Linked DNA regions of Rhinolophus ferrumequinum. The main gene of each other region encodes a partner of the protein of the gene in region 4 in a complex. Links are inferred from orthologs where the notes say so. Each region holds a gene or a part of one and is shown on either strand. Other genes may lie near its edges. The genes, in order: STK26, STK25, STK24 and STRN4.

Evidence for each region.
Region 1: STRN4 (region 4) and STK26 share a complex: the UniProt entries of both Homo sapiens proteins name them as parts of the core of STRIPAK complex. The link is inferred for Rhinolophus ferrumequinum from reciprocal best matches to the Homo sapiens genes STRN4 and STK26.
Region 2: STRN4 (region 4) and STK25 share a complex: the UniProt entries of both Homo sapiens proteins name them as parts of the core of STRIPAK complex. The link is inferred for Rhinolophus ferrumequinum from reciprocal best matches to the Homo sapiens genes STRN4 and STK25.
Region 3: STRN4 (region 4) and STK24 share a complex: the UniProt entries of both Homo sapiens proteins name them as parts of the core of STRIPAK complex. The link is inferred for Rhinolophus ferrumequinum from reciprocal best matches to the Homo sapiens genes STRN4 and STK24.

The regions. Positions count from the first base shown.
Region 1 is NC_046284.1:23,859,666-23,866,634, forward strand, and holds the start of STK26 (serine/threonine-protein kinase 26), read right to left. Parts: upstream 3,008-6,969; 5' UTR 2,853-3,007; intron 2,753-2,852; 5' UTR 2,644-2,752; coding exon 2,602-2,643; intron 1-2,601. UniProt on the Homo sapiens protein: Serine/threonine-protein kinase that acts as a mediator of cell growth. Modulates apoptosis. In association with STK24 negatively regulates Golgi reorientation in polarized cell migration upon RHO activation.
Region 2 is NC_046291.1:253,072-260,266, reverse strand, and holds the start of STK25 (serine/threonine-protein kinase 25), read right to left. Parts: upstream 3,019-7,195; 5' UTR 2,855-3,018; exon of another isoform or gene 2,793-2,854; intron 2,376-2,792; 5' UTR 2,284-2,375; coding exon 2,254-2,283; intron 1-2,253. UniProt on the Homo sapiens protein: Oxidant stress-activated serine/threonine kinase that may play a role in the response to environmental stress.
Region 3 is NC_046287.1:44,276,762-44,283,894, forward strand, and holds the start of STK24 (serine/threonine-protein kinase 24), read right to left. Parts: upstream 3,014-7,133; 5' UTR 2,698-3,013; coding exon 2,656-2,697; intron 1-2,655. UniProt on the Homo sapiens protein: Serine/threonine-protein kinase that acts on both serine and threonine residues and promotes apoptosis in response to stress stimuli and caspase activation.
Region 4 is NC_046298.1:42,863,732-42,870,994, forward strand, and holds the start of STRN4 (striatin-4), read right to left. Parts: upstream 3,005-7,263; 5' UTR 2,987-3,004; coding exon 2,705-2,986; intron 2,653-2,704; exon of another isoform or gene 2,580-2,652; intron 1,943-2,579; exon of another isoform or gene 1,924-1,942; intron 1-1,923. UniProt on the Homo sapiens protein: Calmodulin-binding scaffolding protein which is the center of the striatin-interacting phosphatase and kinase (STRIPAK) complexes.

The DNA.
Region 1 (6,969 bases), on a different chromosome or scaffold from region 4:
TCTTTTCTATTTTAAACTAGTGGCAACAGAAATTTCTTTGTTTGAAAGTCAGGAATGCTGGAAGTCTTAAGTGATAGAACAGGTAGCTCAGCTTTTACTTCATGTCTTTCCTGGGGGGGAGGGGAAGGGAGGAAAACACTGTGGATAATTTTGTTTTTATTTCTGGAAAAATCATTTTTCCATCAATCTTGATAATTCTCTAAAATAAACTGTTAAAAAGTTACAGGCCAGTCAATCACTTCACCATGATTTGTAGAAATACTATACATTAATTTCAAGAACACATGGCTAACTCAAGTTTTCTTACTACTCTAAAGGTCTAAAAAAAGGTGCTCTTAACTCTTTAACAAAATTTTAGGAAAATTTCACAAGGTCATGATGTATTTCTGCATCTCAAATGCAATATTTTTGAACAAAATAGTAAAAGAAATCTAGGCTCAAGAGTCACACTGTATGCCATCAAATTTATTTTTAGGGTACTGTACAATTTTAACTGTGGAAAACGTTTTGTGTTGCACCAAATGCTTAAGAACCACATCTATAAAGAAAATGGAAATGAGAAGTTAAGAATTTACCATTTTCATTAAGATGAAAAAAGTCTCTTCGCTAATATTGAGATGACTGCCTCTTCCAAATTAAGGTTGGACAAAATAATCACAACTTTGGGTAGGCATAAAGTGAAAGGCAGAGTTTGTCATTTAAAATACGTGATTCACATTCTAAACCACCTTAATTAACATTTAAAAATTCAAGAGATAGGAACTCAGATAATTCAACAAAGCTGGGAGCAATAAGAAACACTTAACAGCAAGCATTTCCTAAACCATATAAATCAAATAAGGACTAGAAACTATATAAATCAAATAAAGTCAAGACAAATGAAATAAAGACCAGAAACTATTTTCTCTTTAGCTCACAGTTTTTCAGAATCACAAACTTGAAGGGCAGGCACTCACTCTGCTAACGTACACAATGGAGAGAAAAGCCTGGAAACCCTCAAAGACAAATGTTACATCTGTACATCTCCACATAATGGGAAGGAGGGTTCAGTGGGAAATTTTTCGCACTTTCCTCCACATCAGACAGAGCAAAACCATAGTTAGTATTGCAAGCTTCTAATTCCCATGATACAATCAAAGACAGAACCAAATGAATGGGGTGTGGGCCAGGCTGGATGGGGGAAAGAGGGAGGGAAGGGGGTGGCCTGAGAAGAAAGTTTGAGGCATTTTGTAAAGCTTGAGTGGATTAACCTTTTTAAAAGCCTTAATATTTCTCATTACCCTTTTTCTCCCTGTTTGTTTGTTTGTTTATTTATTTATTTATTTATTTATTTATTTATTTATTTATTTTTATTAAATACACACCAACTTCCTGGGACTCGACACAGACGATATTCAGTTAAAAGGCCTGGTGCTTAGGATACACAAGAGTCTTTGGTTAGGTATGTGTCAGACACAGATGGTCCTTTTTGGGGGAAGTATCTTAAAAATCACTCTTTTGTGATCATGCATAAAATGTGACCAATTGCTTTTTAAAAAAAATGAATTCCATGCATCAATTAGGAAATTGAGGCCCCCATCCACAGCTCTTTGATTGATACTAAAACATAAGCTATTTACTAAACATTTTTGTCTGAACTTGAGAAAAGTTTGCTTTCACATTTTTAGAACATAATAAGGAAGTGAGGCTTTAGTGTGTCTAGTCTCTGAGTTATTCATAAATGGGTTGCTTAGGCTATCTTGCAAAGGAAAAAAAAATGTGAATGCTTAAAAGTTAGTAGACTTGGGTAACATTTAGTAGATAGCTTTAAATGCACCAATTTAAAACCATAACAGCATATAAAGTATGAAAATAGCTTATTTCTTCTTTAATAAAATGAAAATATAACGGGGAGGGGGACTGGGTAGATCTTCAGCAAGAAGTTGGGTCCCATGCAGCAGTCCCCAGTCCAGGACAAAAAGCTTCCCTTAACAACATGCAACAGTCATTTTGTGGGAAAGGCTGGGGAAGGGGCTGGAGAGTCATCTCCTAGGCGATTCTGATATGGGACCCAACATTTCTCATGCTGCCCTATGGGTTGGGCCAGGTGGGGTAGGGAGATATAACTTCGCCCTTAAGAAGCAGCACCAAAAGGGGAAAAGAAGTCACTTCGCTCTATGCACACAGGAAGAGACCGATTTAATGCCGCCGCCACCGACATCCCCTTGTCTTGCTCCGCTCCAACTTGTGTTTGGCAGGGGGCACAAATTGCATTTTACCCGATAAATTCCGAGACACCTCCATCTCTCCCAAGTCTTCCCGCCTCCAATCCTCAAGGGTACCACGCTCAGCAGGCGCAGGTGTCTCGCTCTGGCCTATTTTTATAACGCCCCCACCCCATCCTCACCTCGTTGCGCGCCCCAATCCCTCCCCTCCTTCCCAACGTAGTGCATAGCCTCAACGCCAGGAAACACTTAGAGCCCAATTCCCAGGTCACCTGGCCAGAGCGCCCGGCCCTGCCTTCGGGGGAGCCCTGAGGCCGCCTCTCGGTGCCCAGTGAGGAGTGCGTACGGGGCTCTGGGGTAGTCACATGGGCGGCGGGGCAGGCCTGGGCTTCCTCACCTGCATCCCGGGCACTTGGACCGCCACCGGTGAGTGGGCCATGAAGGCGACGGCTGCTCCGCACTGCTTCTGCGGCGGTGGCGCCTTGGGCTGGGACTGGCTCCTTCTCCGGGGGTATTTCGGCGGCCCTCCCAGGCTTTTCGACCCGGGCCTGGAAGGACACACAGAAGTGGGGTTACTGGGCTAGTGGCGCGTAGCCCGGGACTGCGAAGTCGGCAGTTCGCGGGGCTACTCCCTGGGACTCAGTCTACCTTTCTGGCGCCCGTCGGCCGCTGTTGCCGCCACCTCCTCTGCTGCTCCTCCTCCTGAATGCGGGGCGCTGTATGTGGCGGTGGCTGAGACCTGGGCTCGAGTGATGCCGCTCGTCTGCGCCTAGCCGCTTTAGGAAGAGGAGGTGGAGGCGCCTCAGCAACCCGCCCGCTCGCCTGGCGGGGGAGGCGGTTGGGGGCGGTTCCTCCGTTGGCCCTGCCCCCGCCCCACAGTCGGGCGGTGTCAGGAGAGCTAAGGTTCCGAGTGAAGAGGTTTGCCTGGGGTTGCTGGAGCCTGAGAAGGGAAGACTCTCCCCGCACGCGGAGAGGAGAACCCGGGGCCTGGGGGACCTGGAACACGGCTCGGCCTGGAGAGATAATGGAAAAGTTTGGGTGACCTGGGGTTATGAGGGCGTCCTAGACGCGGCCACGTTGCAGGCAGGCGTACGAGGCTGGGGCACACGCAGCCTCGTAGACTTCTTGAGTTAAAACTTGGAGAGTGTTGGAAGTCCTTCTTGGCTTCCCAATCTGATCGAGGGTGGGGCACAGAGGGGCACAGAGAGCCACCGAGTCGGTGGACTCCTGCCCATTACTGCGGTGGGGGTCTCCCCAGCCTGAGGCCGTGCCACCGGGCAGATCCGTAGCCACTCTGATGCTTTCGGGATCTCTCGCCCCCAGACATGCTTCAGGTGACCTGAATCTGAGGCTACACCTACCTCTTGGGCTATCCTTTGGTGGGGGGTGGCCAGACTGGGGCTTCTGTTTATCACAAGTTCTGCACGTTTAATAGAGAGGGAAGTTGGAGAACAGATGGTACGTCCGCAGAAAAATTAATGAGGATGAACATCAGTACGGTAGCAGTGCATATTATTGAACTCAGCATACACAGCAGTGGTTCCAGCAAATCCTTGCCTCCACCCCATTTCATGTTCCACTCCAGGAGGGAGACAAGGTCTTTTGAGAGTACCCTAATAACATTAACAATGGTAATAGCAATTTCAAGAATCTCATTATGAAGGGACCTCTGGGAACCCACAAGGGGTCAATTACATTTTAAAAATGTAATATCTGAGTGCCAATTCAAAATGAGGATGAAGTTCCCTACCTTGCAGGTTGTTATAGGTCTGTACACAACACAGTATTGGGGCCACTCAATAGACACTCAATTAATATATTTTTGTTGTTGTTCCTTTTGAACCTTTTAAAGATAGCATACTATTGTCAATATCATTATTATTCATGGATGCCATTTTCTTTGTGCCAGGGACAATGTGTTACCTAATTGAATCTTTACAAGGGAGGTCATATTGCTTTCTCCCCATTTTACAGATGAAGAAAAAGTTGAGCTTAAATAATTTGACACAAAATATCGCACAATTAAGAAGTAGAGCTGGAAATTCAAACCCAAGTATCTCTAACTTTTAAGATCTACTCTGTTAGCAACTTTCAAGTACACAAAACAACATTGTTATCTATAGTTACCATGTTGTACATTAGGTCCCCAGAACATATTCATTTATAACTGGAAGTTTGTGCCCTTTGATCACCTTCACCAATTTCCCCCATCCCCTGCCCCTTGCAACTACCAATCTACTCTCTGTTTCCATAAGTTTGGTATTTTTTAGATTCCACATATAAGTGAGATCATACAGTATTTGTCTTTCTCAATCTGACTTATCTCACTTAGTATAATGCCCTCAAGGTCCATCCATGTTGTTGCAAATGGCAGGATTCCCATCGTTTTTATGGCTGAATAATATTCCAGATCATGTATCTACACCACATTTTCTTATCTATTCAGATGATGGAGGATATAATTGCATTTCCCTTACTCCTGGTTTCCCAATTCCAGGCCCTTATTACTTCTAACATGATGAGAGGCCCCAATCCAATCTCTAGCTCCCACTCACCCAGCTCACACTCAACAATGCCAGCCTGACCAAAAACCTGCAGAGCCACCTAAACTTTAATGTCCATAGAAATTCCCTGGGATTCTTTTGAAAGTGCCAATTTTGATTTAGCAACTCTAGAGTGAGCACAAGATTCTGCATTGCGAACAATTTCACAGGTGATGGCACTACTGCTGATTCTTAGAACACACTTTGAATACCAAGGGTTTGAATCAAGCTCCATCATTTGAGGCTCATCTCAAATCTCACCCCCATTGAGCCATCCTCCTTGCTCTAATCCCCCTTTCAGAGGCTCATCTCAAATCTCACCCCCATTGAGCCATCCTCCTTGCTCTAATCCCCCTTTCAAACTTCTTTTGCATGTCGATGGAAGCCACAGTCACATTGTGGTTTTGTTCTTATTTCATTTGTTTAGTCTGCCCAACAAGATTGTTAGGTCCTAGAGGCCAGAGATCCACCTTCTCTTACATAAGAATTATTCAGGTAGGATGGCAACTGTCAGTGGGCAAAATTCTTGTCTGTTTTGTTCATTGCTGTATCCTCAGAGGCTAGGAGAGTGTGTGGCACATAGTAAGCCCTCAATAGAGATTTGTTAAATGAATAAATGAATAGATGTATTTCCTTTGAATTCTTCACTGAGATTAGTATAGTGATAGGTGGGTGCATTATTGGTATACTGTGTGTTTTATTGATGCCTGGTTAAACTCCTACGTACTGCTCTTGCTGAACCTTTAAATCATTCACTTTAGTATATGTGACACCATTCTTTTTTTTTTTTTTTTTGGTCTCCAAAATTCTTTCCAGTTACTTTAATTTCACAACTACATAAGAGCAAGTTGTGTAATTTTAATAGATAAGTAAATTAAGCATATCTGAGAAGTGACTTTCCCTGACATCATTCTGGGCCAGAGTTATGTAAGAATGTAGTAGTCTAAATGCTAACTTTTGAGACCTGAACAATTGAGACGTTTCCTTAGAAACACTGCTATTGAGATCTTAGTAAACTTTTTGACCTTTATTTAGGACTACTTCTATTAAATAAACTATCTGTTATTATTATTTATAGAGATCACTTGAGTTTTTACGTGGAGTTCCTTGTGGTTTGCTTATGCTTTTTCATATATATATATATATATATATATATGCATATATATATATATATATCTTAATATAAATAAAATAAGAAATTCAAGTGTGCTTTTTTCACTCTCCCCAGAAAAGGACACTTGAATATTTTACTTCAAAATATCATCCCAGAGTCTAATACTATATTACAATGTATTCCCATAGCTTGATGGAAAAAGTTCCATGAGGAGAGACACCACATATTATGCTCTTTGGTAACCCCATGGAATGTAACATAGTGCCTCAAATCAGATTTTGTACCTGCTTAATTGGTGTGACCTGAGTGCTATGAACACTTAATAACCATATAAATAAAATAAGATTGTATACAGATTAATTGAAGTCAGTGAACTCCAAATTAGACAGTGTCCTTGAACCCAACAAAACTTAATTTAAATTTATAATCTGTGATTTCAATTTCCAACATTTGTCATACCGTCAATATTAAACATTTAATTTTACCCATGTTTGTAAATATTTATTGAATGGACTGATTCACAGCTAAAATGTAGGTAGACAGAAATGGCCAGACAAACCTCAATGTAGACAGTAATGCATTAGGGCCGTGGTTCTCAACCAGGGGTAATTTTGCCTTCTGGAGACATTATTGGTTGTCACAAATGGGGAGGAAAGGGCGTTACTGGTAGTGGGTAGAGGCCACGGGTGCTAAGCATCCTCCCATGCACAGGACAGCTGTCACAACAAAGGATTACCCAGCCCAAATTGTCAATGGTGCCAAGGTTTGAAAAACCATGCTCTACACTCTTTGCATTAGGGATTACTAACCAAGAAACCGACTTGGGAATCACTGTTCCCTGAAGATTTCAGTTCAATGTAGTGGCTTCCCCACCTCCCCCCAAAAATCCCCACAAGATATTGGGCCACATCGAAGGGTTACTGGAAATGAAAGAGTATTTTTATATTGCTTTTGTACTAAGTCATAGATCATCTGCCCCAAAGAGTGAATACTACTTAATGAAAAATAATATTGAAGAGAAAATAAGTTTAAGAAAATTTAATGGTTTGTTTACAAAAAAAAGTTTAATCATGGAGCATGTTCTAATGTACCAGGCATTACATAGGAG
Region 2 (7,195 bases), on a different chromosome or scaffold from region 4:
CCAAGCCGGTGGTGAGGTGTCCCCTTGCACCGCGGCTCAGCCTGTTAAGGGATGTGGCCAGCCCCACTGGAACCGGCAGCCCAGTACACGTGGAAGAGAAACAACCGCGAAGCTTGCAGCCAGCCTACTGCCAGGAAGACCCCAAAACCAAGGTCAAGGGAAAGCAGGCTTCAAATCACAGCTGCTCAGGTCTTCAGGTGTGACCTACCATACCGCTGACCACTGAGCGAGCAGCACAAAAAGGCTTTCCTGCCAGAGAGAAAACCTGCTCCACTGGCTTCCACGTGGGGACCTCGCCGGCCCCGCCCGGCCTTGGCCAGAGCCGATCTGGCCCCCCACAGCCGCCAAAGGAACCCCAGCCGGCCCGCTCAGACCTCCACTGCCTTGAGCAGAACACAGTGCACCCCCTAAGCCAGAGTCCAGGCTCCACAGAAGACAGGGCCCCGAGCCTCAGGTCTCAGCACCGCTGCGGATCAGTCAAGTGAGTAGACAGGGTGTGACAGGAACACTTCTGGCTAACACTGACCCTACAGGCGTATCACCGGCTGAAGGAACGACACGCAGCTCTCAGGTCTGGGGGCCCGGGAGCCCTTCTAGACCAGGCACGTGGTCTGGACAACACTCAAGTGGCTCAACTGGCTCTGGTGGTCAAGGCCCTTGTTCTCAAGTCAGCCCTGGCACTGCCAGATTTGGGGCTACCACCTGGCAGAATGTCTGCCATTAGTTTCACCCCACAAAACAAGAGCCAAGCTGTCCCCAACCAGCACACGACAGGTGACAGCTGGTAAGCACATGGTGCTTTCACACCCCCAGCCATTCGGCCCGTAGGCGGGGGTGACATCAGAGCAGGAGCACAGGCTGTGGGGGAGCTCGCCCGCTGCTCCACACAGGGACCACCCACGAGGCCACAGTGACAGCCGTCTGGAGAGAAAATGCAGTCCTATCAGGCCTCCTGCTGCGACAAAGGCTGAGTCTGTCCGCCCCTGAAAGGACAAGGGAGCGTCCTTCCTTTGGGGTCCCTTTCCCAGCTCCTCAGCACCCACGCCCCCTCCCCGGGTCTGAGTGGGCACCCAGGCCAAGCATCAAGCACCATCAGCACAGCGGTACAGGCGGCTCCCTGCTCCAATTCCTCTCTGGGACCCATGGAGGCCACTCCTACAGCTCTTAGAAAACAAGCTCCAGGCGGACTTTTCTCCCAGCACCTTGGCGTGTACCAGACACAAAATGTCAAGCATACACGCAAAGTCTGTTAGCATCATTCAGTGTCCGTCAGCAAACCCCGGTCCCATCTGTGGCCACTGCTGGTCCAGGACGCCCTGCCCAACAGCCCTGCCCAACAGCTGCGTGTGGCTTCCGGGCGCCTCCTCCCTGCGCACCATACGACCCAGCTTCCTGCTCCTCCTGCGGGCTGAGCTCCCGACTGTGTGCACGGGAGCCAGCGGTGGGACTCCTCTCTGTAAGAGGCCACCCCTCGCCTTACAGCAGTTGGCCTAAATCGCGTCAAGGGAACAACTAACAACGAGGACACAGGAAAACCTGGCCACCAGGCAGCCACATCAGCTCCAATCACACTTCCTTTAACAAAAAAGAGGGGAGGTCCAGACCACAAGCCTCCCAACTGCCCCCTACACACACCCTCCTTTCCAGGTGCCAGCAAACTCGGGGCACACTGCAGAGGGTCCCCCAGAGTCAGCCAGTGGAGTCAGACACCTCAAGGTGTCTGAATACCGGGGATTCTAGGGAGCAACCGACCGAAGGAGGGCGGTACCACCAGGTAAGTACTGCACCTCCCTCCATGGACACACTCACGCGCGTCCCCCACTCCTACAGGAGAGCGGCCCGCTCACCCTCCCAGCCCCCCTAACCGCCCACCAGCGAGGGGTCCCCCGGAGGCCCCGCCCCGGCCCGCGTGCGCCCGACCTGCGCGATCCCAGCAGACGGACGTGCGGACAGACCCGGGGTCCCGCCCCAGCCACGCCGCCGTCCCGACCGGGCCTCTGCACAGCCTCCACGGCCTCCCACTGCGCTGCTCTGACATGCCTGCGCGCTTCTGCACCCCACAACGCTGCAGCAGCCCCCCCGTCGGCCCTGAGCCCCAGCACGCCGGGCGCCTCGGGACCGCGCCCCCTCTTGCCCACAGGTGTGCGGCACGGGTTCCCACCCACACCCCTCCCGCGCCTGCAGGCACCGCTCTGCTCCCGGCGGCCCGGCGAGCGGACACACTGCCCGCTGTCACCCCGAAACAACCCTCACCTGGCTGGCGAACCCCCTGAGGTGAGCCATGTCCGCGCCGCGCTCAGAACATCCGCCGCCACCGCGGAGGCCCCTGGATTCCGCCTCGAGGCCCTGGCACCCGGCTCGCTCGCTTCAGCCAACTGGAGGGACAGCAGGCCGCTCGCTCAGCCGGTTCAGGGGGCGCGAGGCGGCCCCTCGTCCGACCATCGGGAACAGGCTCCGAAGGGGGCGGCGGGCTGGCGTCAGGAAGGCCCCGGAAACCCCCACGGCAGCCCTTCCCCGCCCGCCCGCCCGCCCGCCCGGGGCCCGCGACCCCCGAAGGGACCGCCGCCCTGAGCGCCCCCCGAAGCCCCGCCCACCTGGCCCCCGCCCGGCACCGGCGCTCAGACCCGCTGCCCCGCGCCAGCCAACGCTCCCGGTGCCCACCCCGCGCCGGGGCCCTCTCTGCCCTCAGCCCCGCACCTTCCCCTCACCCCGCTCGCCACCTCTCGGCACCCCCACCGCTCGGCCCCCTCCCCAACCGCCCCAGGCGCGGGCTCGCCCAGCAGCGCGCCCACCTCCGGGGTACTCCATCCCGGCCTCCCCCGGCCCGCTCCGCAGTGCCCGCGCAGGCTCCCACCCGCAGCCTCCGCTCGCCCGGGGGGACACCCGGACCCTCCAGCCCGCGAAGCAGCAGCAGCGGCGGCGGCGGCGACGGCCGGAGAAAGGCCGGCGGCGGCGACGGAGAGGGCGGTGCGCGGCGTCGTGGCCCAGCGCAGGGCTCTCAGGGACACCGAGTCCGGCCGCTCGTCCAGTGCCTGGGCGTCCGCCCGCGTTGGACTACAAGTCCCGGCAGGCCAGGGGCGGGGCGGAGTCGCGGCCCGCAGGCGCGCCGCGGGGCTCGCTGGGACTCCGAGTCCCGCTTCCTGAGAGGCTCTGGACTACGTCTCCCGGCAGGCCGCGGGGCGGGACCGGGTCCGGGAGGCGGGGCCACGCCGGCGCCCCGCTTTGGGGTTGGGGCCCGCTGGGCTCTATCTTGTCTCCTTTTTGCCTTCCTCTTCCTCCGCCCCATCTTCCCCGGCTCCACTCTCCATCCTCCCCGCCCTCCCAGTGCGCTATCCACTCCGCTTCCTCCTATTCGTCTCCCTCCGCCCCCCCCCTCCCCTAGAAAACTCTCCCCTCCACCTTGGAGGGCGTCCGCCCTTCTGCTGCTGCTTATCTGGCAGCACCCACAGGGTCCTGAGGGGAGGAAAGGACCAACACATGTGGTGCATACACACAGTGCAATATTATTCAGACTGAAAAAGGACTTTCTGACACCTGATGCCACATGCATAGGCCTGAGGGCATGTGAGCAGTGAAATAAGCCAGACACAGAAGTACAAACACTGTGTGATCCCCCTTGTGTGAAGTCCTGTCATGCGGGGCGGCCTGCGGGGTCTCAGCTCCCGCTCCCCACATAAGAACGCAGGACATGGTGAGGCCAAAAAGGAACACCCACGGAGCCATAGAGAGGGGAGTCATACCACTATATTCTCGCTGGCGGCTGGGTTGGAGACAGGAAGCAGGAGCCACACTATCTACAACCTGCCGTCCACTTCTCTGCAATCTGCAACCCGCACTCTGCCGTGCTAACTGCAGTCCGCGCTTGCCAGCCACCATCTTCTTGCTAGCCCCCATTTTCTGCTAGCGTAGCCACGGCGGTTATATTAGTGGCCAATGGGTCACTGGTTACAGCTGGCGGCCAACTAGCCACAGCTGATGGCCAGCCAATCACAGTTGATGGCCATTTACTACCTGAGCCAGCACCTTTCCATGTGAGGCCGAGAGCCTGGAAACTGCTTTCTGGGGCTCTGTCCCCACAAGTCCCTAGAGGAGTCAGATTCAGAGACGGAAGTCGATGGTGGTGCCAAGGCTGGGGAGCGGAGGGGAGTGAGTGTTTAGTAGGGACGCAGTGTCAGTTTGGGAAGACAAAGAGTTCTGGAGACAGAGGTAATGGTTGCAGAACAATGTAAACTGAGCTTAACAACGGAACTGTGCACTTAAGCATGCTTCACACACTCACTTTTATATGATGTGTGTTTTCCCACAATTATAAATAAAATGAAATAAAAAAGGAATTAAGTTCTGACACATGCTAAAACAGAAGAACCTAGAAAACAGCTAAGGGAAATAAGCATAAGAACTCTCCTGTAGCTGAGTTTCTCCTGTCACGAGACAAATGTTGTATGATTCTATTTATATGAGGTATCAAGAATAGGCCAATTCAAGAGACAAAGTAGAACAGAGATTTCCAGGGGCTGGGAGAGAGGGGAATGGGGATATATTACTTAGTGGGTACAGAATTTGTTTGGGGTGATTAAAAAAAAAAAGTCCTGGAAATAAATAGTGGTGACGTTTACACCACTTGTGAATTTTCTTAATGCCACTGAATTGTACACTTAAAAATGGTAAATTTTATATTGTGTGTATTTTACCACAAATAAAAGCAAAGATAAATTGAGCTTCATCAAAATTTTTACATTTTGCTTCCAGAAAGACACTATTAAGAAAATGATAGGGGTGGCTGGTTAGTTCAGTTGATTAGAGCGCGGTGCTAATCACACCAAGGTTGCGGGTTTGGTCCCTGCTGGGCCACTGTGAGCTGCGCCCTCCTTAAAAAAAAAAAAAAAAAAGAAAAGATGCTACAGACAGGGAGAGAGGAAAAATATATATATATTTATATATGTATTATATATATATGTATTATATATATATATCACATAATATATATATTGAGAGAGAGAAAGAGAATATATAAAGAGCTCTCAAAACTCATCAGTTAGAAAAGAACCCAATGGGGGTGGGTGAAAAAGAGGAAGGGATTAAGAAGTACAAATTGGTAGTTACAAAATAGTCCTGGGGATGTAAAGTACAGCATAGGGAATATAGTGAATCATATGGTAATAACTATGTATAGTGCCAGGTGGGTACTAGACTAGTCAGGGGGATCACGTCGTAAATTATATAAATGTCTAACCACTATGCTGTACACCTGAAACTAATATAAAATAATACTGAATGTCAACTCCGAAAAATTTAAAAAGGGGGGAAACATAAAGAAGAGTAAGATGTTCAAATTTCCAGATATAAAACAAATAAGTCATGGGGATATAATATACAGCATAGGAAATATAGTCAGTAATATTGTACAGTATATTACAGTATATACATAGTATAGTACAGTAAAATTGCGTGGTACAGTGTCAGATGGTTGCTGGACTGATGGTGATCACTTATTTAGCATATAATCAATAATATGGTAATCACTATGTATGTGCCAGGTGGGTACTGTTGAATAACTATGATGTACACCTGAAACTAAAACAATATTGTATGTCAGTTATATTTTAATAAAAACATTTGTTTAAAAAGAACCCAATAAGAAAACTTGAGAATAGACTTGGCACACCAAAGAGGATAGATGGGTGGCCGTCAGCAATGAACAGATGCTCAATGTCGTTAACTATCCGGGAAATGCAAATCGAACCATGACGAGACTCTAACTGCACACATATTAGAGTGGCTAAACTAAAAATACTGACACTAGCAAGTGTTGGCGAGGTTAGGGTGACCAACCATCCTAGTTTGTCCAGGAGTTTCCCACTTTGAACACCAAAAGTCCCATGTCCCAGGAAGCCCCTCTTCCCATCCTGGGCAAAGCAGATGGTTGGTCACTCAGGGTGAGGAGGCAGAGCCCAGAACTTTCATACGGTGTAACTGTGCAGCCGTTCTAAACAACAGCTTGGCGATTACTTAAAAAGTCAACTATATACCTAACACGTGAGCCAGCATGCCCACTCCTGGGTATTTACACCAAGTAAAGAAAACATATCTTCGTACAAAAGCCTATGCATAAATGTCTACAGCATGTCTAGTCAGCCGGACCCCAAGCTAGAAACAGCCCAGAGGTACCTTCCGCAGTGAGTGGATGAGCCGCGATCCATCCAGACATGGAATCGACTACTGAGAGACGTGTGACAGAAGGAGCCAGTCTCAAAGGATCACATAGCATGTGATTCCGTATAGGAGGCATTGTGGAAGAAACAACAGCCACAAGGGAGAAGTTGCCAGTAGTTCCCAGGGGTGGGGGGAGCAGCCTGCTCCCACAGAGGAGAGCAGTAGGGGGTTTCTGGGGGTGAGGGAACTGCTCTGTACCCTGACTGTGGAAGGGATGACACAAATCTATACCTGCATTAAAACTCAGAGAACTGTACACTAAAAAAGACAATTTCACTGTATGGTTTTCTAAAAGAAAAAAAAATTGTTTTCAAAGATTTTTTTGGTAAGGCGAACAGGACTTTATTGGGGAAGAGTGTGTATTTCCAGGACTGTTCATTGGGGAACAGTAGTGTGTTTTTCCCAGGACTCATCAGCTCCATCCAAGTCAAGTTGTTGTCCTTTCAATCTTAGTTGTGGAGGGTGCAGCTCAGCTCTAGGTCTAGTCGCCATTGTTAGTTGCAGGGGGCACAGCCCACCATTCATTGGATGGGAATCGAACCGGCAACCTTGTGGTTGAGAGCCCGCGCTCCAACCAACTGAGCCATCCGGGAGCTCAGCGGCAGCTCATTGACTTCATTCTAGTTGCTGAGGGCGCAGCTCACTGGCCCGTGTGGGAATCGAACCAGCAGCCCTGTTGCCCAGAGGTCGCGCTCTGACCAACTGAGCCACCTGTCCACCCGAAAACTTTTTTTTTTCCTAAAGATTTTATTGGGGAAGGGGAACAGGACTTTATTGGGGAACAGTGTGTACTTCCAGGCCATTTTTCCAAGTCAAGTTGTTGTCCTTTCAGTCTTAGTTGTGGAGGGCGCAGCTCAGCTCCAGGTCCAGTTGCCGTTTTCTAGTTGCAGGGGGCGCAGCCCACCATCCCTTGCGGGAGTTGAACCGGCAACCTTGTGGTTGAGAGCCCACTGGCCCATGTGGGAATCGAACCGGCAGCCTT
Region 3 (7,133 bases), on a different chromosome or scaffold from region 4:
AAAGTAGTAATACAGCATGGTGAGTATGGTCTTGAAGGCAAGAAAGACCTGGTTTCAAGTCACAAATTTGCCCCATCTCACCTTGGTCAGTTCAATTAGTCTTTAGTTGATTCCCAAATCTAGAAAATCGCATATAATAACTATGCCTCAAATGGTAACAAGTAAGAAACAAGAGGCATAGAAATGATTTGCAAGACACTGAAAACTTATGTTTACACTAAAATGTTCTCTCATTCAGGCTTATTTTGTAGGCATCTTTGCCTAGGCTGCCTGAATTCACTGTACTGTCTTCCTAAAACTTTTAACCCAGCTCCTTATAAGCCCTGGTCAGGAGATAAGAGAGAAAAAAGAGAGGGATGTGAGATGTATCAGGACAGAGCACAGAAGGGTTAGTAGTTCTCCTGTTTTATCCTAGAGAACAGGCCAAGGCGGGTGTGCCTTTAATTTAATCCCCAACAACACTGAGGAAAAGCCTCCCTGGGCAGTAGCAGCTGCTAATTCAAAGTAGGAAATAAACGTGCTTGTTGTTTTTCTTGGGGGGTGCGGGGGGGGGGGGGGGGGTGTTCATTCCCAAATAGCAAACTAAAAACAATTATCATACAGTTTATACATGTACTTAAATATAGGGATGACTGTCAAAAGCCACCTTCAACTCCTCTACAACTCTAACAAGATGAAAATTTGGTTTTTTCAACTAAATAAAAATTTATCAGCTTTCATACTGAGAAAGCAAAATAAAAACAGTTCCTTTGTAACACTACCTAGTAAATGCACTGTATTTGGGCGGCAAAGTTATTAAATGAAATTCACCTTCTTTTCCCAAGATTTAAGAATTTTGGCCCACACTCTTGAAGAAAGAAAAAAGTGAGGACAAAAAAAGGTACCTGGTAACCATCTGATACTGACTTCAGGGCACCAGCTAGTGAGGCTTTTAAGTACCTTTTTAAACTGATGCTCTCTCCACAAAGGCGGAATACCTCCGTGGTAAACTCTCAGGGAGGCATTTGTGCTAGACTGCAACCTGATTAAAACAGCATAAAAGTCCGTCTAAAGGAAAGATTGAGCAGACGTATTTTTTTTTTATTTTTTTTTATTTTTTTGGTCACTACAAGAAGGCCTTCTTGCTCTACTGGTCAGAAATCATTTTTCAGCCAGTTCACCCTGCCTTCCTGCATCTCAGTTCAAACCAAACCAAAGCAGGAACTTTAGGAAATACCAAGAAACCACATCTGATTTTTACCTAGTGGTCAGCAAAAGCTTAGCTTTTAAATGCACGTTGAGTTTAAAAACTCTTTGGATGAGATTCAAGGACAGTTTTCTTCAAGCTCTCTCGGTATTAACTTTAACTGCTACTCCTTAAAAAAAAAAAAAACTGAGGCTAGAATTCTGGTAACTTTATGTTCCTATATTTCAGTACTGCAAACCTAAACAATGAAATCGTTTTCTTTTTATGGTTTTAATGAGAGAAAACGATGTGCGTCGAAAGAGAGGAACAGATTCCCGGCTTCTAAAAGGCCAGGTCCTCCAGCCCCGTTCCTCTCAGCCCTCAAGAGCGAGGCAAGAAGAGAAAACAAGCCCGTGGCTGTCTGTAGGATAACTAATCCACTTAGATACTGGGGTTGTGTTTTCATGATCACTCGTTTAGCTAAGTTGGGAGAGCAGAACGTTAATGACATACCCTAACTGCATCGTGAGGTTTTTAATCCTAATGATTTTGACACCTCTTATGCGCTTACACGCATTACAAATTAGCCAAGCAGGGTGGTTTTATTTTTCAAAGGGCTAAAAACGGTGCCCGATACAGAAAAACTTGAACGCCTTCATGTAATTTGAAATTCAACTTCTCCCCACCCCAAAAAAGTCAATGGTAGGCCAACATGCCACAAAGTATCAACGGAAAGGTTTACTGGGAAGAACTCATCTGGATTCAATCAATTCTCAAAGTAAAAGCCTAGTGTCCCAGGACCGGGCGGGTCAGCCTCGGCTCGGGACACTCGAGTGCACGCTGTCCCAGGGAGTCCTTCTGCACGGTTTACAGGCTCGCACTTTCCCCTGTGTCTGCACCAGAAGGAAACGCGCGCTGGAAGTGGAGCTGGCAATTGCACCTCCCTCCACCCTATCCCGGCTCCTCCACCCGGGCAGGGCCCAGGACTAGTCCTGACGCGCCCGGGGCTCCCCTCCCGCCTCTCAACTTTACCGCCCGCTCGCAGGGAGGGGACAGGGGCCTCCAGCACCCGCCGCGCGCAGGCAGGGCCCAGAGACCGCGCCGGGGCCTCCAAGGGCATTTCCCCACATCACTTCTCCCCCGGGGCTGGGGCCGGCGCTGGGCCTGCAGCTCCGGAGGCGCTGGGGAGACAGGGGAGCGGGGAAGAAGACGGCCGGCACCCCCACATCCCTCCCTGACCACCGCGACTCCCAGACGGAGAGGGCCGCCTCCAGGCCGCGGCCCCCAGGTCCCCGCGCCGCCCCCCGTCCCCGAAACGCTGACCGCCGAGCCGGGCAGGGGCGCCCCGGGCACTGAGAGCCGGACGCGGGAGGCCGGCGCGACCCCGGAAGGGGCAGCGTGGGGGGGGCCATGTTTACACCGCCAAGTTCTCTGCTTCCGCCCCGGCCCGCGCATCCCTCCCGCCCCTCGGCGGCCCGGCTGCTGCTTACCTGCATGCCGGGCAGGCCCGACTGCACCGGGGAGTGAGCCATGGCGGTCAGGACGGCTAATTCCTGGGACGGGACGGCCGGGCCGCGGCGATTCGCGCGGGCGACGAGGCCCGCGGGCCAAGCGCAGCCCTCGGGCGACGAGGGCGGCCGGCCAAGCCCGAGTCGGAGCCCGAGGCCACCCCAGCCCCCGCAGGTCCCGGGCCGGATGGTGGCTCAGCAGCCGGCGGCGGGCGGCGTCTCCATGCACAGCGCCGGGAAGGGGCTGCGAGGGGCGCAGGGCCTCGCCGCGAATAGCTGCTGCTGCTGCTGCTGCTGCTGCTGCTGCTGCTGCTGAGGCTGAGGCTGAGGCTGAGGCTGAGGCTGCCGATGCCGATGCCGCCGCCGCCGTCGCCGCCGCTAGGCTAGAGCCGGAGGCCTGGAGTCGGAGTGGGCGCGCACAGCCAGCCCAGCCCGCGAGCGCCGAGCGCGCCCCGCCCCGGCCCGGCCCCCGCGCCCGCCCCCGCGGCCCGGCCGGGGACCCCGCCCCGCGCTTCCGGGAGGGGGAGGAGGCTCGCGGTCGCCAGCTGCCCTAGGCCGCAGCCGCCGCCTGCCGGGGCGGGCGGGGATCCGAGTGTTGTTGCGCGCTGCCCTTTGCCCCCAGTTGGCGGCTATGAGCGGGGAGGGGGCCTCAGCCTGAGCGGCCTCCCGGCGTGGGAAAGAGGGAACCGGGTGGGACCCAGGAATTGGCTGTGTGCCCACCCCCACCCCCACGCCTGGGCCTGGTGGGAGTCCTAAGGGGGTCTGGACGGCGAGGGAGCGGTGAGCACCAGCTCTGACTCTACCATCTTCCTCCTGCCCTCCAAGCGAGCCCACCCTTTTCCTTCTGCCCCCAGGAAACGGGCTCCAGGCTACCTCCCCGAGGGCATAGTCTGGGGCTGGGAGACTTCGGGAGGGAGAATGCCCAGCGGGGCCTCAGCCGGTGGTCAGCTCAGAACTACCAGGGCGGAGTTTCTTCGGTGTCTCCGTGAAGTTTCCAGCCAACCCGAGGAGGAAACCGAGGGGAGAGGCCGAGAGCTGTTCATTCTGAGTGCTTTTGCTGCTTGAAAACAGCCCCGCTTGCAATACTAGGCGCTGTAAACTTAGCTAAGAAGCGAGGGGGCTCAATCCCACCATCTCCGGGCTCAGGTTCCAGGCTGCAGCGTCCACCATGAGAAGGGAAATGCAGGGGAGGGAGGGAGGGGCAAGGAGGAAGGGAAGACAATAGAAGGAAACCGTGTCTAGACTTACCCCAGCCCTCTCCCTCTCTGCTGCCTCCAAAAGCCCCAGGTCCGCTCTGGGCACCACTTCTGTCTCCACCTTTTAGTCTCCAACTACAGAGGAAAGAAAGAAGGAACGAGTCTGCTGCCTCCAGAAAGTATTTTATTTACAATGACAGTGGTAGCCACTGAAGTGATCTGCTGTACCTCAGGTTGTTGGGATCCTGGCACCTCATTCATGCCCCTGAATGAAAGCCATGTTGCACCATCACTGTGTGAGGTTGGACATACAAAAATGAGCCCCCAAGAGTTCACACACTACTGGAGGAAATTCTAAAAGTTCTCCACCGAGGTAAGGAGTGTTTATTCTCTGAGGTGTCATTGTATTGAGAGACTTTCAGTTCTCTCTGTGCTCTGGATTAGACAAGGAGGGGGGTGCTAAAATGTACTCCCTGCTTTCCCTTTGGGAATACACGATACACGTGTTTTTCCTTGGGATTCTCCAGGATACCTTCAGATAGCTTTACCGTTGTCACTGGTACACTAACTGCACTGAGTTGTAAAGCCCTACCGCCCCCAAGTATTGGGAAGAGAAGGTGGCAAATGCAAAGTGAAAAAAAAGCATGGGGGTGGCCGGTTAGCTCAGTTGGTTAGAGGTTGGTGCTAATAACACCAAGGTTGCCAGTTCTATCCCCACATGGGCCACTGTGAGCTGTGCCCTCCTTAAAAAAAAAAAAAGGAAAAGCATGAATCCTGATACCTAGGATTCACCATCTTTTGTAAATTTTGTGTACCTAAAAAAAATGGGTACATAAAGAGATGAACAGTAAAACAAGCAAGAGCATAAATCTTAAAAATGTTCATAATCTTCAACCCAGGAATTCTATTAATATTTAGAAACAACCAAGACATGCATAAGAATGGATATAAAAAGATGCAGTTCAGTGATATTTATAATCATGGGAAAACTGGGAACACATTAAAAGTCTAATAGATATTAAGTAAATGATAGTATATTCATACAGTGAGTACCACGTAGTCAGTAAAAAATGATGTATTTCAACATTTAGTAAAATGGAAAATATTTTCATTTTGTATTGTTAGAAACAAAATGCAGAGTACAAAACTATTATAGTCTGATCTCAAGCTACTTCATGTATATGAAGTTATATTTAACATATATATCATTTACATGTATGTATAATTTTATGTATATATTTGTAAACAGAAAAACCTGAAAGTATATACACCAAGATTTAGCAGTAGCTTTTTCTGGAATTAAAGATGATTGTTTCAGTCAGTGGTCAACCATTAGAGACCATCATGCTAAGAGGTCTCTCCTTAGGATCAGCAATCAGAGCAATAACGTGATAGCAAGATAAGAAGGAAGAAATAGGACGAGTGGACAGAAATGTTTGGGCACTAAGCTGAGGCATTACCGTAGGAAACACAAAAAACACAGGGGCCTGTTTTGTAGTGGGCCAGTTTGCAACAAATAAGCCATAGTGGGGCATTGGACCACAATACCCTGCGTATCAAAAGTATTCCAAATCCTTTTTCACCTCCAGAGACTAGTAAGGCTAAGAACAGGTATGTTACAGTAGGATACATAATTCATCTGGACACAATTACTTGCATTCTTTAACTGGTCTATTTCCCTGTACCCGGCTTATCTCCTCACCACAAGTGAACTTCATTTCCTCCTTTGACCATATTTATACAATTGAGCATCATTGTCCTTGAAAGAGAAGCAAAATAGGAGTTACTGTTCCGCACAGTCATAGGCAGATATTTCCCAGTATTCCGCAGACAGTGGCCTTCTCCCTTTGTTTTAACAGAACACAGATGATGGACAGGGCCTGAGCCCATGATGCGATCCTGCCCAATTGCTCATTGAATCCATTCATACATTAGCACATTTTTTGAATGCCAAACACATGTCAGCATCTGGTTCAGTGCTGGGCGTATAAATACTAGGTTCTCAGATGCCTCTCATCCTATCCTCGGGACGTGGTCTCCCAGAATCTTAACTTCAGAATTTTACAGTACCACAATTGATTAAATTTAGAGTCACAATGTGTATAGTTCCACTAAGGAAAGAAGAGGATTATCCTTTCATCCTCTCCCTTTTGTCACTTCCCTCCATCCTCAATTTATAATTCCAACAGATCATATACTACTGTAATTTCAGGAGAGATTTTGAGGGTCTCTATAAAGATCATGCATTTTCTGGTCTCCATGGAGATACTTACTAACCCAAGGAATTATTTTCATCCCTTGGCCCTCTCTGTCTTTTGTGTTGACCTAAGGACATGAATTGAGCGTGAATTGTGCTCTGACACATATTCGGGACCACAAAGGACATTTCCATTCCCCTATATAAAGCCCCTCCAAATATAGAACCCTTGTGTATTGACTTCCCCTAAGCCAGCTCATAGCCTCAGCAGAGCTCAGAATGCAGCCAGAAACAAGAATTCAACAATCAGTCCCTTCACTTCTTCTGAGTTGAAAAGATAAACACCCCCAAATGCCACTTTATAAAGAACAGCTAGACAAGTAGCACATTAGCAATTTAAATTTACAGATTAAAGAAAGGGACTTACATGGTGAACTTTAAAGAGAGAAATATGAGTAGCTTGGATAAGTAACTAACAGAAGGCTTGACAAATTTCTACACATGTTTAGCAGGTGAAGACACAAAAGAGGAAGACAGATTTATTAAGATCCGTATAAAGCAGCATGACTAGACATAGTTGGATGACATGATATCAAGAAAATGTATGCTAAAGCCCTAGGAAAAGATCCAGCTACATTGGGGAACAGTGAAAGGTAGTTGCATTCTGTGACTGAGGCTCAGAGGGCAAGCTCACAGCACCATCATTCTAAGTCAGTTTTTGGTTGCACCCTACATTTGTTTGCTCAGGCTGCCATTACAAAGTACCATGGGTGGGGTGGCCTAAATAACAGAAATGTATTTCCTCATAGTTCCGGAGGCTAGAAGTCCAAGATCAAGGTGGCAGTAGAGTAAGTTTCTTCTGAAGCCTCTTTCCTTGGCTTGGAGGTGACCATTTTCTTCCTGTGTCCTCCCACAATCTTCCCTGTGTGTGTGTATCCTGATCTTGTCTTATAAGGACACTCATCGCATTTGGCTAGGGTACACCCAAGTGACTTCATTTTAACTTAATGACCTCTTTAAAGACCCTATCTCCAAATACAGTCACATTCTCAGATACTGGGGGTTAA
Region 4 (7,263 bases):
AAAATTAGAAACAAGCTAAAAGTCCATCAACAGGGGTCAAATTACAATACAAACATCCAGTGGAACGTAGTTATCAAAAATAATGAGAAAGCTCTGTGCTGATATGAAAGGAACACCAATGCACAGAAGTATGTGAAAAAAGTCATAAAATAATACGTATAATATGATCCGTGTTTTGTACACATAGAGCTGAATTACTTTCACAGCAATAAATAGTTGGGAAGGAGAGTGAGAGAGCGACAAAGGGGTGACTTTCACTTTTCACTTATACATCTACGTATACACACACACACACACACTTCTAAGATCTTTGAATTTTTACTCCTGCAACAGAACAAAAGAAAACAAAAGTACAAAGTGAGTGATGCTGGAGCCAAGACGAGGACAGCCTAATGGGTGCTACCCACAAGCTCCTCTCACACTCCAAGAAGGGCCACTGAGTGAGGGAACACACACCTTCCCTCTCATTAGCCTTAAAGATGAGAAGGTGGTGTGCTGGGTGCTGTAGGGCGCATTGGCGTGACGTCCCAGAGACCAAGATTCAATCCCAGCTCTACTATGACTGCTTGGATGACTCCGGGGAGGCCAAACAGTTTCTACAGAACAGTTTTCTCATCTGTACAGGGCGGCAGAGAGGAATTGAGCATGGGCTTGAAAGCCCACAGACCAGCCCTGCCACCCATGAGCTGTGATCCTAGATAAATCACTGACCCTCTCAGGGCCTCCATTTCCTCTTCTTTTTTCTTTTTTAGGGGAACAGGACTTTACTGGGGAACAGTGTGTACTTCCAGGTCTTTTTTCCAAGTCAAGTTGTTGTCCTTTCAGTCTTAGTTGTGGAGGGCGCAGCTCAGCTCCAGGTCCAGTTGCTGTTGCTAGTTGCAGGGGGCGCAGCCCACCATCCCTTGCGGGAGTCGAACCGGCAGCCTTCGGAATTAGGAGCATGGATCTCTAACCACCTGAGCCACCGGGCCGGCCCCCATTTCCTCTTCTTATTAAAATTAAAAGAGTGGTGATGAATTATATCACTTACCCTCCCAGAATATTGCAAGGATTAAACGATACCATGTATGTAAAGTGCTTAACACAGTGCCTGACACATAACATGGGATCAATAACAGCAGCTGCTACAATTACTGCTGAGTGAAGGCAATGACACTGGCCTGCCTACATAATAGGGGTATTGAGAAGATCTAACGAGATGTATGCTGCCTGGACACAGCCCCGCAAGGGGCACTTACATAAGGATTCCTCTCCCATCCCAACGCCACACAGCTAAGATCTCTAGTGAAGTGGGAGAATTGTGGGATGCTCTCTTTATTCATCCTATGGACAAAATTCTAATAAGTTATTTACTTGGGTCCAGACCTCAACTAGATAGTAAACAAGTCAGAAGGGGAAAGATGGGCTGCTAGAAGCAGATACTGACTTCTGCTAATAATATGCAGAGTCTAGGCACTTTCAGACACCTCTCCGCCCATGGCTGGACTCCCAATCTTCACAACTGATGCCCAGGCTACTTGGGACACTTTGCAAATGGACCCAGACTTCTCAAGGTCACCAAACCCAGCTCAGCTCCTCAGACTCTTCTAAACATCATCCCAGGGTGCACCCCTCTCCCAAGCTACCCCACAAACCATGGGGTCCTTTCCCAGAAACTTCCACAAACGCGTCGCCGCTCAGGGTCCTTCTGAGACGCTTTCTTCCTGCTCTACAAAATCCACTCCCTGCCACATCCCAGGTCCCCTGGGATTCCTCCTTACAGTCCCCATCCCAGGTCCCCTACTCTCCACGTTGGACATGCGTGACTCCCGCACCCACATTCCAGTTCAGGGTTTTCCACCTGCCATCCTACACACACCGCCCATCTCAGGACCATCCCCCACTCCTCCACACCCCCAAACTGGAGTTTCCACTCTGAAGCTCTTCCACACAGATTCCTAAGGTACGTCCTTGGGACCCCTTCCCTGCACTCGGTAGCCACACAAGCCAGGGCTCCTCCAGTTTCCTCCTCAGCAGGGAGGGCACACACCATCATCCTGGGACCCCTCGAGACCCTCCTGTTACCCCTTCAGTCCTCACGAAACCATCTTTCAGTTCCCTCTATCCAAATGCTCCGAAATACCCTGTGTCCCAGGATCCGTGACTTCCTCTCCGTACTCAGGCCTGATTCCGGCCGAACTGCTCTCGCCCTTGACGGGTCCCAAATCCTCCCGACGCCCCGTCTTCCACACTGAGCCCACTGGACTCCCCCTCCAACCGCTCCTGGTCGGGACTGTGGTGGGCATCCCTCGGCACCCGAGAGCGTTTGCTCACCCCCACACAAGCCCCTCCAACAAATCCTCTCAGCACCCTTGGCTGAGTTCTCCTGGGTCCCCGCCAGGCCCCGAGGCTACTCTCAGGAACCCGCCAGCCGGTCCGCTCACTCCCACTCCCACTTCCAGCTGGTTCGGGGCCCTTCCGCCCCTTCTCTCGACCGGCCGCGCTCGGGCATTCCCGCCCCCGGGCCCCACTCCCGCCTCGAGGCGCCCCGGTGCCCCCAGGACCCTCCACGGACTACCCCTCACTCCCGCTCTGAGCCACTCGCGGTCCCCTCCTGCCCCCCCGGCCGTCCCGGCGGCCATTGCTCCAAGATGGCGGCGGCGGCGGCGGCGGGTGAGGCCGGGCCGGGCCGGGCGGGGGGTCGGGGGTCCCGGGCGGCGCTCACCTGCAACTCGGCGCGCTCCGCCTCCCAGCGGGCCTTCTCCGCTTCGAAGCGCGCCCACTCGTGCTGGATAAAGTGCAGGATCCCGGGCAGGCTCAGGGGCTCCGGCCCCGCCGTGGGCCCGGGACTGCTCCCGCCGCCGCCTCCCTTAGCAGCCGGGCCGGGCCCGGGGACGGGGGCAGAGACCGGGGCCGCCCCCGTCGGACCGGGGCCCGCGCCCGAGCCGAGGGGGCGGCAGGAGGAGGCGGCGGCGGCGACGGCTGCGGCCGCTCGCTCCTCCATCATGGAGGCCCCGGGCCGGCCCGCGCGCCCGCTGTGCCTCGCGCGCCTGCGCGGCCGCCCAATCCCCGCGCGCGCGCTCGGCAGGGGCTGAGTGGGGGGGCGGGGACGGGAGCGAGGCCGGGCGCGCGCCTCGCCCACCCGGGTCGACCCCGAAGGCGCGCGCGGGGGGGTGGCTGGAAGGGGCGGGGCGGGGGCGCGCTCCCCGAGAACCGGCAAACTGGACCCCGGTCCTGCGCGAGGGTTGTCCTTGGGGAGAGCGGGACTTTGAGAGGGCGCTGCTTTCTGCCCCCCTCCTCCCGCTTCGCTCCAAAGAAAGATTCTAACCCTCTCCAGACCCAAATACCACTCTCCTCGAGCATCACTGTAACTCTTTGAGAGAAAGGACGACCACCAGGGGTGGTTTCAGCCATGGCTCAATCCTGATTCCTGGCCATGGTCGGTTGTCATGGTAACCCTTCCCTAGCCTGGAACACCCCCAGCCTTCCCTCCCCTCCACCTTTGTGGTTATGGAGCCTCAAACCTCTCCTGTCCTTGCAACAGGAGGAGGTTGCTAAGGTAACCTAAGTCCCTGGTGATCCTTCTGCCCCTACCCTCATTGCTTACTATGGCAACCTCACCTAACACTCAGGTAGAAAGGATACTAGCCCCAGGGACACTGATTATTAAGGGAAATACCTCTTTCCCAACCCCTTCTCCCAGCCACCCAGTTGGCATTACCGTGGTAACCATCTCCCCTCCTTTCTTATGGTGGGAAGTCCCTGGACCAAACCAACCAGGTATTTAGAAAAGGAGATGCTCTGCTGAGGAGTAGTTGCTATGGTTACAAGGCCTGACCATCCCCAGGGATGTGAGAAACCAGCAAGGCCAAGTCCCGGTTACTGTGGTAACAGGGGCAGTCCCCCCACCCCTCCAGTGACCCTAGTAACCAGACCCACCAAGGTAGGGAATGGTTTTAGGATTTTCTCTCAGGATGGAGTGTGTAAAGGGAAAGGGTTGTCATGGTAACAGCTTGTCACTTTTAGCCCTATGTTTCTGGACACATTCATCAGAGAGGGATGGTTATAGGTTGCTATGATAACTGACATCCTTTCCACCCATTCCTAAAATGCTCGTGTCTGAGCTTAAGGGACTTCAAGAGAAATGATTCCTTGACCTTCTCACTGCCACTTTTGTAGGTAAGATGAAATTGTACTCTATTGTGCAAAATTGGTTGATTTGGGGTTTTCTGTTTCTCCTTCCCTCAGCAGTGCAGCTGAGCTGGGCTGGAACCGCCTCCCTGGAACTCCCCCAGCCTGCAACGTAGGAGGTAAGAAGTCCTTCAGTGTCACCAGCACTCATGTGGACACTGCCCTTCCTTCATCCCCAAAGTCTTTCCACATATCTACCCATCACATTCCCGTGCAACAGTTGAGACTCAGGCTAGATCAGAGCTCAGGCCAGGTGAACCCAGGCCTGAAGTGAGTCTGGATCCACTTACATTGTTTTGTCAGGGATAGAGAGACAAAGTCTTGGCTTAATTGTCTTCTCCTTCCCTGACTACCTTTTCTTTTCTTTAATTTATTTTGAGTGTGTTTTTCCAGGACCCATCAGCTCCAAGTCAAGTAATTGTTTCAATCTAGTTGTGGAGGGCACAGCTCACACTGGCCCATGTGGGGATCGAACCGGCAACCCTGGTGTTACGAGCATCACGCTCTAACCAACTGAGCTAACCGGCTGCCCCTCCTGACTACCTTTTCTAAAGGAAGTACTGTTTTTTTTCTGCCACCCCTCCCCCCAAGCTGGTTTCTTGCCCCATCTATAAGTTGTTTGTGTAGTTTTTACTTGTCTTCCCACCTCTGGAGGTCCTACTCAGTGACTGCCTAATTCATCCCCGGAACACAGGGTATGGCACAGAGAGCACTCAATGAATAGCTTTGTTGAGTTAGTGAATTGAATTAATTAATGTGTCATATTCAGCTTTGAAAGTACTTGTCAGGTTAAGGCTGGAGAAGTCTCAGAAGGTTGACAGAGTGGGCTGAGTAGACCCAAGAAAGACAGCGGAGTTGATTGGATTAAAGCACAACTCTGGGTCCAACTTCTTGGGTCAAATCCTGAGTCCACCACTTTCCAGCTGTGTGACCTTAATTAAGCAAGTGACTTCACCTTTCTGTGCCTCAATTTCTTCATCTTTAAATGTGATCATAACTTGAAGATTAAACAAGTTAACGTGTGTAAAGTACTCAGAACAGGTCTGGCACATCGTGAGCAGCTAGATTTGTTAATAGTATTCTATTATGAAAAATATTCATAAAAGCATATAGATTATTTGGACCTTCAAAATCATTTCCTCTACCTTACCTCAATGAAGGGGTTTTGAGCCCTTATAGTCAGAAAAGTCAAGACTAACCTTGTGAGGGTACTAGATGATTCCTTTCTCCTTCCTCTTTGGTCCCCTCACCCAGTAGGTGGCGCTTCCCCATGAAGCCATGATAAATACCCTCTGGTCTCTGAGGACCCCCCTTTCTGTCCTCTGTCCTTCTGGGTACCTCCCAGCCCAGAGTCACCCAGACAGCATGACAAGAACCGGAGCCTGGACAGTGGAGACCTGGGTTCTGCTCCCTGCATCCTTTCTGTCTCTAAGCCACAGGTTCCCCATCTGAATAATTGGAGTCACTCATTTATTGAGCACCTGCTATGTGCCGGGCATTGAGCTGTGCTCTGGGCATACAGCAGGGAACAAAACAATAAACAAGATAAATAAACATCTACATGATAGGGCCGGCCCAGTGGCTCAGGCAGTTGGAGCTCCGTGCTCTTAACTCCGAAGGCTGCCTATTCAATTCCCACATGGGCCAGTGGGCTCTCAACCACAAGGTTGCCGGTTCAACTCCTCTGCTCCCTCAAGGGATGGTAGGCAGCACCCCCTGCAACTAAGATTAAACTCGGCACCTTGAGCCGAGCTGCCTCCCGGATGGCTCGGTTAGTTGGAGCGCATCCTCTCAACCATCAGGTTGCCGGTTCGACTCCTGCAAGGGATGGTGGGCTGTGCCCCCTGCAACTAGCAACGGCAACTGGACCTGGAGCTGAGCTGTGCCCTCCACAACTAAGACTGAAACGACAACAACTTGAAGCTGAATGGCACCCTCCACAACTAAGATTGAAAGGACAACAACTTGACTTGGAAAAAAGCCCTAGAAGTACACGCTGTTCCCCAATAAAAGTCCTGTTCCCCTCCCCCAATAAAATCTTTAAAAAAAAAAAATCTACATGATAACTACTAGGAGAGATAAATAACCAGGGATGGGGCAGAGGAAGTATGTGGGTGATAGGGAGATGTATTTTTAAATAGTGTGGCCAAAGGAAGGGCTCACTGGACAGGTGACATTTGAACAAAGACCTGAAGGCCGTGGGACAGGAGTCATGCAGATACCTTCTGGAGAGAGCATCCAGGCAGAGGGAGTAGCCAGTGTAGTGGTTAGAGTGTGTCAGGTGTACTTGAAGAATAGTGTTTGGTGGCCGGTGTGGCCAGAGCTGAGTGAGAGTGGGAGAGGGTGGGAGACCATTGGGGCCCTTATGGGTTATAGTGAAGACTTTGGCTTTCCCTTTGAGTGACTTTTGAGTCATGGAGCGTTTGAGCAGACACAGGACAGGAGCTAATTTGAGTTCTGGGTGCTAAATGGGAAACAAAACTGTAGGGGACAAGGGTGGAGCAGGAGAATGGTCTCTTTAGAATCTTTCGAAGATTCTAAAACCATCTAAGGGTCTCTCCTGTGCTTCTGTGTATCTAAGCTCTAAGATTCTAAGATTTTTAATACTCCAAAGACTCAGTGGATTCAGAAGTTCCTTCTGCCCACAATAATGTGAGTTCCATGAGGTTCGGGGTGTTGCTTGTCCTTCTATTGTGTGTCCACCGCTCTGTCCCCAGTGCCTAAAACAGAGCCTGGCGTGTTGTAGTTCAAGTAGCTACTGAAGGACTGAAGGAAGGAGGGATCCATCTAAGGTCCAGAAGGCAATTCCAAGGTTCTAAAGAGTAAGAAGTCACTCTTAAAAGTGCAACTCAGATTCTTAAGTGACATCCAACTTGGGTCAGAGAAGGGCCAGCAGAACTGGGACAGGTGACGGGGAGGTGGGAGTACATTCCTGGCAGGAGAGTGGAGGAGACAGGACGACCAGCACAGGGCCCCAGGCACTTGGCCACAGTGTAGAGTTTGACTCCAGGGACCTGAGTGAGCTTTATAGACATAAAAACCCTGACCTTGGCCATCATTTTTTGTTTTTGCCAAATGCATTTTCGGTGCCCA